Linked DNA regions of Saccharomyces cerevisiae S288C. The gene in region 1 interacts genetically with each later gene. Each region holds a gene or a part of one and is shown on either strand. Other genes may lie near its edges. The genes, in order: EMC10, KIN82 and RGD1.

The links.
Region 2: mutations in EMC10 (region 1) and KIN82 together harm fitness more than expected from each alone (negative genetic interaction), as found in Saccharomyces cerevisiae (3 studies listed by BioGRID).
Region 3: mutations in EMC10 (region 1) and RGD1 together harm fitness more than expected from each alone (negative genetic interaction), as found in Saccharomyces cerevisiae (2 studies listed by BioGRID).

What each region holds. Positions count from the first base shown.
Region 1 is NC_001136.10:564,362-567,475, reverse strand, and holds EMC10 (Emc10p), read left to right. Parts: upstream 1-1,835; coding exon 1,836-2,453; downstream 2,454-3,114. Other genes in the region: YOS9 (Yos9p), read right to left, coding at 1-1,549; PST1 (Pst1p), read right to left, coding at 2,615-3,114. UniProt on the Saccharomyces cerevisiae protein: Part of the endoplasmic reticulum membrane protein complex (EMC) that enables the energy-independent insertion into endoplasmic reticulum membranes of newly synthesized membrane proteins.
Region 2 is NC_001135.5:272,448-276,208, forward strand, and holds the start of KIN82 (putative serine/threonine protein kinase KIN82), read left to right. Parts: upstream 1-1,956; coding exon 1,957-3,761. Other genes in the region: YCR090C (uncharacterized protein), read right to left, coding at 1-416. UniProt on the Saccharomyces cerevisiae protein: Flippase activator that phosphorylates DFN1 and DFN2 and which is involved in the generation of phospholipid asymmetry in membranes by the inward translocation of phospholipids.
Region 3 is NC_001134.8:732,879-736,639, forward strand, and holds the start of RGD1 (GTPase-activating protein RGD1), read right to left. Parts: upstream 1,762-3,761; coding exon 1-1,761. Other genes in the region: TAE1 (N-terminal protein methyltransferase), read right to left, coding at 1,954-2,652; MIC12 (Mic12p), read right to left, coding at 2,842-3,162; glycine hydroxymethyltransferase SHM1, read left to right, coding at 3,386-3,761.

The DNA.
Region 1 (3,114 bases):
CAGCTTCCCCGATGTCTCTGGTTGTATGACTAGTGCTTTCATCATCATCCATCCTTGCGTTGTTTATCTGCTCAACTTTGTTATCATCATTTAATGAGGATTTCAACTTGTTCATCAACGCCAGTTCAAAATCATTATTCGGTTGATTTCTCATGTTTTCAAATATTACTTCCATTTCATGTGGACTTACGATTTCGTTTAATAATTCTTTCACTTCTGCTATCTCCTTAGAAATCCTCAAGAATAGCTCATTATCAGTGTTAATTAAGTATTCATCTGACCGAATTTCTGCGGTATTTATATCTGCTTTGTTTGAGTGGGTTATTTGACCAAGTTCAGTTGACTCGCCATGATCCCCAATTTTGTATGATAGGAAGTTTCCATTATCTTCATTAAATGTAAACGTCTTGTTGAAAAATATCTCTGCTCTCTGTGAATTAAGTATGTTCAACGATAAAGTGGTTTGAAACCGATCTTTCATATCAACCACTTCCGCCAACCAAACACATGAGTCACCAGGCTGGAGAATATGTCCATTAGGTAACGATACTAATCTCAAACTAAGCATTTTGTTTATGGCATTTCCAAATTTCTGGTAATATGTTTCCGTAATCTCATCCCAATTTGACATGGCATTGTCAGTAACCATTAATTTGTCTCTTTCGTCGGTGTTAAAGGGCCTTAGAAAGTATATTCCAGAACCTAAAAAAATCGGTTCATATTTGGTGATTAAATCAATAGAGTTACTACCAATTTTTGATTTTGCGGGCATCCTGCAAAGTATAGGTGAGGCGTTCTTTTGGTCTTCATTTTTGGCTAGTAATTCTAAATTGCACAATTCAGGTATGGTAACTTGGGCTTCATAAACACAAATTTTTGTTTCTCTCACCCATTGAATAGTCGATGGTCCAGAGTTTGAGCCGCCACAGACATATTGTATTTCAACCATTCTTTCAGCCCCCGTCACATCGCAAATATCACCTGACCCTATAATTTCGCTGATGTAATATCCTACATCGTCATAAAGTAGTTCAAATTCTCTCTCTTCTACATTTGCTTTTGGTTTTCCCAGGCGGTAGACCAAAGATTCATCTCGATTTACTATTTCACCAGTTTTTGTATTTACTCTACCATGGAACTGAACAAATTCTATGCCAGGACAGTACTCGTAAATCCAAAATCCGGCTTGGTAGAAGATGCACCGTTCATTTAATTTATCGAAAATTGTCTTAACACCTTGATTCAGGGTTTTAGTTAATAATGCTGTCTTTTCACTATTGCTATGCTCATTTGAGTCTTCCAATACATCATTCAATTGAGTGCTTGCATTTTGAATAAAGCATTCAAGGTCGTCGCCCATATTCACTATATATCCCGAGTTCATGACAGACTGATTTTGTAATATCCTATCACTCCAGTCGTCCTCATCGATGTAAGATATGAGGTACTTATTCGATACTATGGGGTCTTCTATAGGTGCTAATAGTGATGATCCTAACGGAATCAACGCAGAAATTGCGCTCAGAGCATATATAATTTTAGCTTGCATTGAAACAGGGAAGAAAGGGGATGATAACGATATATGTGAAGATCTATTGCTTATTTTAGGGAATCTGCTTCTTTTTTATGAAGCTACATTTTTACTTGAAATTTCCGCTGTATTTTTTTGCATACGTGCGCTGGGTCTCTAACCACTGTATTTGCATTGGTAACTTAAAAACCCAACCAAATATAGGAATAATTAGAAGTATATAAAAGACACTTTGAGTAAAAAAACAAGGTGGTACTATTCAACACTATCTAACAAGAACTGTACAATACTCATTGAAGGAAAGATGCTTGTGCGGCTGTTGCGTGTGATTTTATTGGCCAGCATGGTTTTCTGTGCTGATATTTTACAATTAAGCTATTCAGATGATGCGAAAGACGCTATACCCCTAGGAACATTTGAGATTGATAGTACATCCGATGGGAATGTTACAGTAACAACCGTTAATATACAGGATGTTGAAGTTTCTGGAGAATACTGTTTGAATGCCCAGATTGAAGGTAAGCTGGATATGCCATGTTTTAGCTACATGAAGCTGAGGACACCACTAAAATACGATTTAATTGTGGATGTAGATGAAGATAATGAGGTCAAACAAGTGTCGTTATCATATGACGAGACTAACGATGCTATTACTGCTACAGTCAGATATCCAGAAGCGGGACCTACTGCACCAGTCACCAAATTAAAGAAGAAAACCAAAACTTATGCTGATAAAAAAGCTAGTAAGAATAAGGATGGAAGCACTGCACAATTCGAAGAAGATGAAGAGGTTAAGGAGGTGTCTTGGTTTCAAAAGAACTGGAAAATGTTACTTTTAGGCCTATTGATTTACAATTTTGTTGCGGGCTCAGCAAAGAAGCAACAACAAGGAGGTGCCGGAGCTGATCAAAAGACTGAGTAAATAAAGTATTGTGATTTTTTAAATTTTTAAGTGTCGTTACTTTTATCTCTTTCCCGAAAATATTTGAATACATAAAATTTTTAAATAAATGTTTTTATTTGTTCACATGTCGTGAATGACAGGTACTAGTTATCAAAAATGAAGAATATTTCTTCATTCCATTACATTATAGACATGATGATTGCCGTCAAAAGACCGACCAAAGGGGTTGTTTGGCCAATTGGTGCCATGATAGCGGCATTGCCTTTGGAACTCTTAGAGCTAGAGCTGGAAGCGCCAGAACTAGAAACACTAGAGGCAGAAGCAGCAGCCTTGATATCGCCAGAAGTGAACTTCTTTTCCTCGGCCTTAGAAGATGACTTGGAAACCTTGGCAGTAGTTTGGCTTGATTGAGATTTGGAAGTGGACGATAGTTTAACAGATGTGGATGATGCACCATTTTTGCAGACAAAAGATTCACCCTTGATACCCCCTTTCTTTTGCAAAGCTTTCAAAGCATTACAGGAGAAATTGCTTGACTTTGATTCGACATCTGCGCCACCCTTGACAGACTTCAAAGAGTCTAGGTTCAAGGAGGTGAAGTTACCAACAACTTCCAAAGTACCGCCAATGGTTGTTAGGTTGTCGAGACCACCAATTTTTTGTAAACCAGTGTTGTTAG
Region 2 (3,761 bases), on another chromosome or scaffold:
AACGTTATGGTGTCGGGATAAAATTTGATTAATTCACAACCTCTGCAATCAAGGCTTAAAGGAATGAAAGAATCTTCTTTGACCTTCGATAAACCATGCTTCTTCCGCACATCTTTTATCTTGGCCCATTTGTCGTCACTCTGATCAGTTAAATATTCATCCTCAAAAGCGCACAGGTTAACTGACAATTCTTTTGAACAAAATTTACACTTCATCAAGAAAGATGCGGTACCTTTTGATGCCGGCATAGCATATTCTTCAAATGTATTGATGATGACTTTAGAATCGTGTAATTCTCTACAACTGGTACATTGTAGATCGAAGGCAAATTCTGCCCTTGATTCGTTTGTATTCTCAATTGAAACCTTGGTCACGTTTTCTGATAATGTTGCTTTCAGAACCAAAAATAACGGCATTATCGTACACAACCTGGTTTTCTTTATTGGTTAAGTTGTCTTTATTCAAAATTTTTCATTACTTCTTATAAACAGCTTCTTGACGCTTGTAATTTCATAAGTTTTTGATACAAGCAATGGAAACAAAATTAAGAAAATGTAGGCAACGAAGAACTAAATTTGAAAAAAAAAAAAAAAAAAATTTACTGCCAAGATCATCTAAATTATCTTATAGTAGCAAAGCTTGAGCATAAAAGGATCAATCTTTTAGTTTTTTATGGCAAAGTACATTTGCAGTAAGTAATTAGTGATGAGATAAACAAAGAATAATAATCCAATTCGAAATCAAAAATTCAAACAACAAAAAACATAATTTCACATATATATCTAATTCATTCACGAAAAACACGTCAGTTCCTTCTGTCTGTTGTAAATAGGATGCATCCGCAGTGAATCATGGAAATATTTCAAAACTTTCAGCCCAATCATTTTATTTGGTCAATGAAGCCATAAACGCTCCGTAATTCTAAGATTAAAAAAAATTCATAAAAATAAGGACCAATATAAATATATATATTTAATGTGCTAGTGACAATCCTAGTGATAAAATTGCAAATTATACTACAATTGGTCATGGTGAAGCCTAAACACACCATTACGTCTTCACAGTGTTATTCATTTTATTTTCAAAGGTATGCTACTACTAATGCACCAGTGTATACCATGATACGGTGAAAAGGGCATGTAATATTGCGTTAATTTGTCGATAACCTTTCTTTACGTTTAAATTTTTTTTTTATAACTGGCGACACTAAACTTCTCGATAAAATACAACATAAAAAGCAGTACCTAGCTAAGCGAACAACAGATAATAAATAGCTAAACATCTAGGTTAATAGCCAATTAGCAATACATTTAAGGATTGATAGTGTGGTATTTACAAGGTAATAGCCCGCTAGGCTATAAGGAAACTACTCTAAATTCACCTTCCATATATGTGACTGCCAAGAAAATATTACTAGTTATCAAGCTTTTTTTGTGTGCATTCAACTTCAACGAATCCTTCGTCATCAATGAAACAAAAGAACAAGCCAGAACTGAAAAAAAAAAATCAAAACCACTAAGAATGTCACATCCTTCCAAAACTCCTGCTGGCTCTTCAACTCTTCAAAGAATATCAAGATAAATATCATTATCTCCAGTGTGGCCGACCCATGCATGAGTGCGAGGAGCATTAAGTTGGATCCTGGGAAAACATGTCAAGGACATTCAATAAAGTACTTTTCATACTACAACAGACGCTAGAAGAACTAGAATGTAACCGTGAACTGCCTCTCAAACACATAATTATGATAGCGCCGTCTTCGGCATCCTTTTTCGGAAATATACTTTCCTTTTTCCCTCTTTCAGCTATATTGTTCAAGGAGTAACATAAGACATAATAACCCCAGTTTTTTTAGAGAAAGTTCTTCTTCTTTAATTATAGTATGTTTGAAACGTACAAGAATTCATTGAGTGCCCTAAGGATTACTGCAAACAAGGTTCAACAGTGTTGGTACACATGACTCAGCAAGAATACCGTTCCCCCTCACAACGCTTATCCAAGGGGAGGAGCATGTCGCTACCCAAAATATTTGCTCGTAATTTGAGATCTCTGCAAAACAATGCACCTCCTGGCAAAAACATCAATGTCAATTGTTTGAACGTCAATTCTTGTTCGTTGTCCGCAAGCCCAAGCTCACAAATTAATATGGCTTGTAATGGAAACAAGCAAGATCTTCCCATACCGTTTCCCCTGCATGTAGAATGCAACGATAGCTGGTCAAGCTCCAAACTTAACAAGTTCAAATCAATGTTTAATCATAACAGATCAAAGAGCAGTGGTACTACAGATGCGTCAACTTCAGAAAAAGGTACGCATAAGCGTGAACCCCGGTCGACGATACATACAGAGCTGTTACAAAGTTCCATTATCGGTGAGCCAAATGTCCATAGTACTACAAGTAGCACACTTATACCCAATGAGGCGATATGCTCCACACCTAATGAGATCTCAGGTAGCTCTTCTCCGGACGCGGAGTTATTTACCTTTGACATGCCCACAGACCCGTCATCCTTCCACACTCCTAGCTCCCCAAGTTATATAGCAAAGGACAGTAGAAACCTGAGTAATGGATCTTTGAATGATATTAACGAAAATGAAGAGCTCCAAAATTTCCATAGAAAAATCAGCGAAAATGGCAGTGCCTCCCCCCTGGCTAACTTGTCATTATCCAATTCACCAATTGATTCCCCAAGGAAAAATAGCGAAACCAGAAAGGATCAAATACCTATGAACATAACACCACGTTTAAGGAGGGCCGCTTCCGAACCGTTCAATACGGCAAAGGATGGGTTAATGCGGGAAGATTACATTGCCTTGAAACAACCTCCAAGCTTGGGAGATATTGTAGAACCGAGGAGATCTCGTCGTTTAAGAACCAAGTCATTCGGTAACAAGTTCCAAGACATTACTGTCGAACCTCAATCCTTCGAAAAAATTAGACTACTTGGCCAAGGTGACGTAGGTAAAGTGTATTTAGTGAGGGAACGCGATACCAACCAGATATTCGCCCTGAAAGTTTTGAATAAACATGAGATGATCAAGAGGAAGAAAATTAAACGAGTACTCACTGAACAGGAAATTCTCGCGACAAGTGATCATCCATTTATTGTGACACTGTATCATTCCTTTCAAACCAAAGACTATTTGTATCTCTGTATGGAATACTGCATGGGAGGGGAATTCTTTAGAGCCTTACAAACAAGAAAAAGTAAATGCATTGCAGAAGAAGATGCGAAGTTTTACGCCAGTGAAGTAGTAGCAGCTTTGGAATATTTACACCTACTGGGCTTCATATACAGAGATTTGAAACCCGAAAACATATTACTGCATCAATCTGGTCATGTCATGCTTTCTGACTTTGATTTATCCATCCAAGCAACGGGATCAAAAAAACCCACCATGAAAGACTCTACGTATTTAGATACAAAAATTTGTTCAGATGGATTCAGAACTAATTCCTTTGTTGGTACTGAAGAGTATTTAGCTCCAGAAGTAATCAGAGGGAATGGCCACACTGCAGCAGTAGACTGGTGGACTTTAGGAATATTGATTTACGAGATGCTATTTGGCTGTACTCCATTTAAAGGAGATAATTCAAATGAAACATTCTCTAACATTTTAACCAAGGACGTCAAATTTCCACATGATAAGGAAGTTTCGAAGAATTGTAAAGACCTGATAAAGAAACTACTAAACAAAAACGAGGCAAAAAGGCTTGGTTCCAAATCAGGAGCTGCAGACATAAAGAGACATCCCTTCTT
Region 3 (3,761 bases), on another chromosome or scaffold:
CATAAAATTTTTTCTTGTTGTTGGGTCTTCAATTTGTAAACAAACCTTGATCTCCGATGATAGGGCCTTTGGTAAAACACTATCAGGCAGCGACGCAAAAAAAGTTTTCAGCAGTGATCCTACTAAATAAATATCCGAATCAGAATGTGGCTTTGATGGTAGAATCATGGAAATGTTTGCGGGATCCTTATCAATTTCCTCCTTCAACTTGCTGACATCAAGTACATTTGCCGATTTTCTATAAATTCCTTCTTGATCAAGCCCAAATTTATCAATAACGTATATGCATTGGCGCACTATCGCAGGGACCATGTCTTGTTCGAATTCTATCAGTGATTCTAGCGGTACACCAAATGTTTTGAAATTTTTTTGAACACCGGGTGGCATATTGTTGTTAGTCTGAATGTGAGAAATCGGGCGATCCGAGTCTAAAGAGTTAATCAATTCTTCTGGAATTTGTGGACTATTGTTGCCAGGATCCAGGGTCTTTGTTATGGATGATGTGGTGTCGCTTGTTACAATGGAAGAAGACGGTGACATAGCGCCAGCCGCATTGCTAGTGGAAGAAATAGATGAAGCCATAGTAGGTGGTAACTGCTTGTTGGTATTTAAGGACGGTGTAGCACTGTTAAGATTAGCATTCGGAACAGCGGCAGTGTTACTACTACTGCTCAAAAATGGAGATTCATTATGAGTGGATATCATTCTCTTCGGGATGGAGTTTCTTGAAGGGTCCACGGCAAACTTTGGGGGGCTCTTATTTTTCTGACCATGATTCATTGATGGATGCTTTTTGTATGATACAGGGATCAAGTTTTTGTTGATCAGTAGGGAATGTTTTCCTGTTTGGTTATACTTGTTCAAAAAACTGTAAAGATCACGTTCATTGGAAACAGATCCAGCAAATGATTTCATAGATTTGGTGGAGTCCAATGGGCTTATTGTAACACCTGTATTCAGAACCAAATTTTCCGTCCATATCGTGTACTTCTGCAATTGGATAGTCATCGCTGTGTCTATTTCTAAAATCAAATCTTTTAATTCTTGAACAATTCTAGGTCTCTCCTTCGTTATGAATGTGTTTCTCAAAGAATTAGAATGATCTACTTTTTGCTTATATTCCAGATCGGCGTTATCGATTTTTCTTAACAATTCTTCTTCTTGTTCCTTCGTAGTTTTGGAACCTCTCAAGGTCAGCTTTGTTTTTGTTGGGTCAGTCATCCTCAATTTGTCCCAATCTTGGCACAACGAATTGTAACGAGATTGCGCCTTTTCTGCGCTGTGTATGGCATCAGAAACATCCTTTTCCAGCCTTTTGCTGTTCTCCTTGACAGACTTTCTTAATTTTGTCATTGTTAATAAAAGACTACTAATCTCGGAGTACATTTTCTGCAAGGCGGTGATATAACTCTGCTTTACTTGAGCCATCTTGCCATCGAATCCCAAAACTTCGTGAATCATCTTTTTTAAGGATGAATTTGTGGAACCCTGAATGTTGAAAAAGTGCTTATATTGCTTGGAGAGCTCCTGAACGTGCTCTTCTTCGAAGGCGTATTTCTTTCTAATAAATTTCATAAACTCTTCACAAGTCAACAACGACTGCTTTAAACGGCTCAACAAAGCGTTAATTGCCACATCGGAATTTAGCACCTTCTTGATCTCTGGCGTGCTAAAAAGGTGCGCCAAATCGTCGGTGCCACCATCGTGCGACGACTTCGCACTTACTGTGGCACTAGCTGGTTTCTTCGCAGTCTCTTCCATCTTGTCTATATCACTTCTCTTTTAATCTTCCGAGATTGTATGTTTTTACTTTACATACTATTTTGTTCACATTCTTTATTTTCTGGGTTCTTTTTCCATATATATCGAAAAAAAAGTCTATATAATGGCACAAATGGTGAATGCCAGCACAAGAAAAGGGGCGTATCTATATAAATCTATGCATCCTTGATCCTAGTTTGGCATGGGCTTGAGTGCGTACATCCTCACTGGGTACAATTCTCTTGGTAAGCCACGTTGTCTTTCACTGGCGATGAGCTTTAGGCCAGCTTCTTCGAAGATTTGCCTGAACTTAGCATCTGACCTTGTGACCGAAGAATCCGTTTCGTCGAAATCATCGGTATCTGTAGGTGTGTTATTTTCTTTGACCACGATTGTCCCATTAGGTTGCAAACCAACAATACATCTTTTCAGGAATGCGACGAGTTCTGCATCTGGCAGGTGTCCCACGCACCATTGGCACCAGATCAGCCAGTACTTGCCGGCATCGGGGGTCCAGTCCTGCATCCCTACTTCATATATTTGTCCAATTTGGCCTTTGTCTTTCAGCTCAGCCAATTCAACGTGCATTTGCTCGATAAAAGGCTTTACCGGTTCTACAAGGTCTATCTTAGCGGCGTGCTTGTGAAGCATGGTCTTGCTTACACGTCCAATCCCCGCACCAATGTCTACAGCGTACTTCACGTTGTTCTCCTGAGGCAGCATCCTCGACTTCAGTTTACGCAGGAAGTTATTGGATCCCAGGACATCCATTGTGGGTACTACTGTACCTTCTCCGTATCCACCTAGAACACCATCCACAGTGGCGTCCACATCCGTCCAATAGTCGATGGCATCTTCGTATTTGATATGGGAATCTGCAGGCACGTCCATCGTTGTTGTTTATGTATTCTTTCTTGGAGATGCTCTTGACACCGATGCACATTACCAGAGTGAAAAGTACTGATTAATAATTAAATTTTTCTTTTGATATTTTTTCTGAATATAAAGTTCTACACAGAGTCGTTACAATAGGTTATATACATGAGGATGTTCGTTACAGTAGGAGAAATAGAAAGCTCGCTAATTCTTACCCCAGGAGTAGATCCAATCGACAGAGTTTCTTATCTGTTCATTCCAAATATCTTTTATGCTCTCCCCCATGGTCCTGCTCCATGCAGTGCCATCATCCGTCACAACTAGCTTGCGGTTCCTGGTCTCCCCAGGTACCACTTCTTTTCTATCCACCAGGTCCTGTACCTGATGATCTTGTTTCAACCATGTAGCATCGTGATCGTAGAAGTAGCCATTGTTACTGTATCGGTACAGGTAAAAAACAGAACCGATTACTCCCACAGAGAGAGTCCACTTCACAGATCTTGCTAACGGACCCAATTTCGACATGATTCTCTCCGTTATCTGCTGGTTCTTAGTCCACTGTCTGTTCTGTCCCCCTTCTGTCCAAGAGATAGAATATAAAAAAGACTCATTATTTTTTTTTAGGTACTTCGCTTATTGGTGGTCAATGAGAAAAAAAATACTAAAAGCCATCGCCTCTTGGAGAAGAGCAAACTATCAAAAATCATCAAGCCGACATTTCCACATCGAGTCTCATAGTCTTTCAATCATGTTTCCCAGAGCTTCTGCATTGGCCAAATGTATGGCAACTGTTCATCGTCGTGGGCTACTCACCAGTGGTGCACAATCGCTAGTCTCCAAACCAGTCTCGGAGGGAGATCCAGAGATGTTTGACATCTTGCAACAAGAACGTCACAGACAAAAACACTCTATCACCCTTATCCCATCAGAAAACTTCACCTCGAAGGCCGTTATGGATTTGCTAGGTTCTGAGCTCCAAAACAAGTATTCTGAAGGTTATCCAGGTGAAAGATACTACGGAGGTAACGAAATCATCGATAAGTCCGAATCCTTGTGTCAAGCAAGAGCTCTGGAACTGTACGGATTAGACCCTGCCAAGTGGGGAGTTAATGTTCAACCATTAA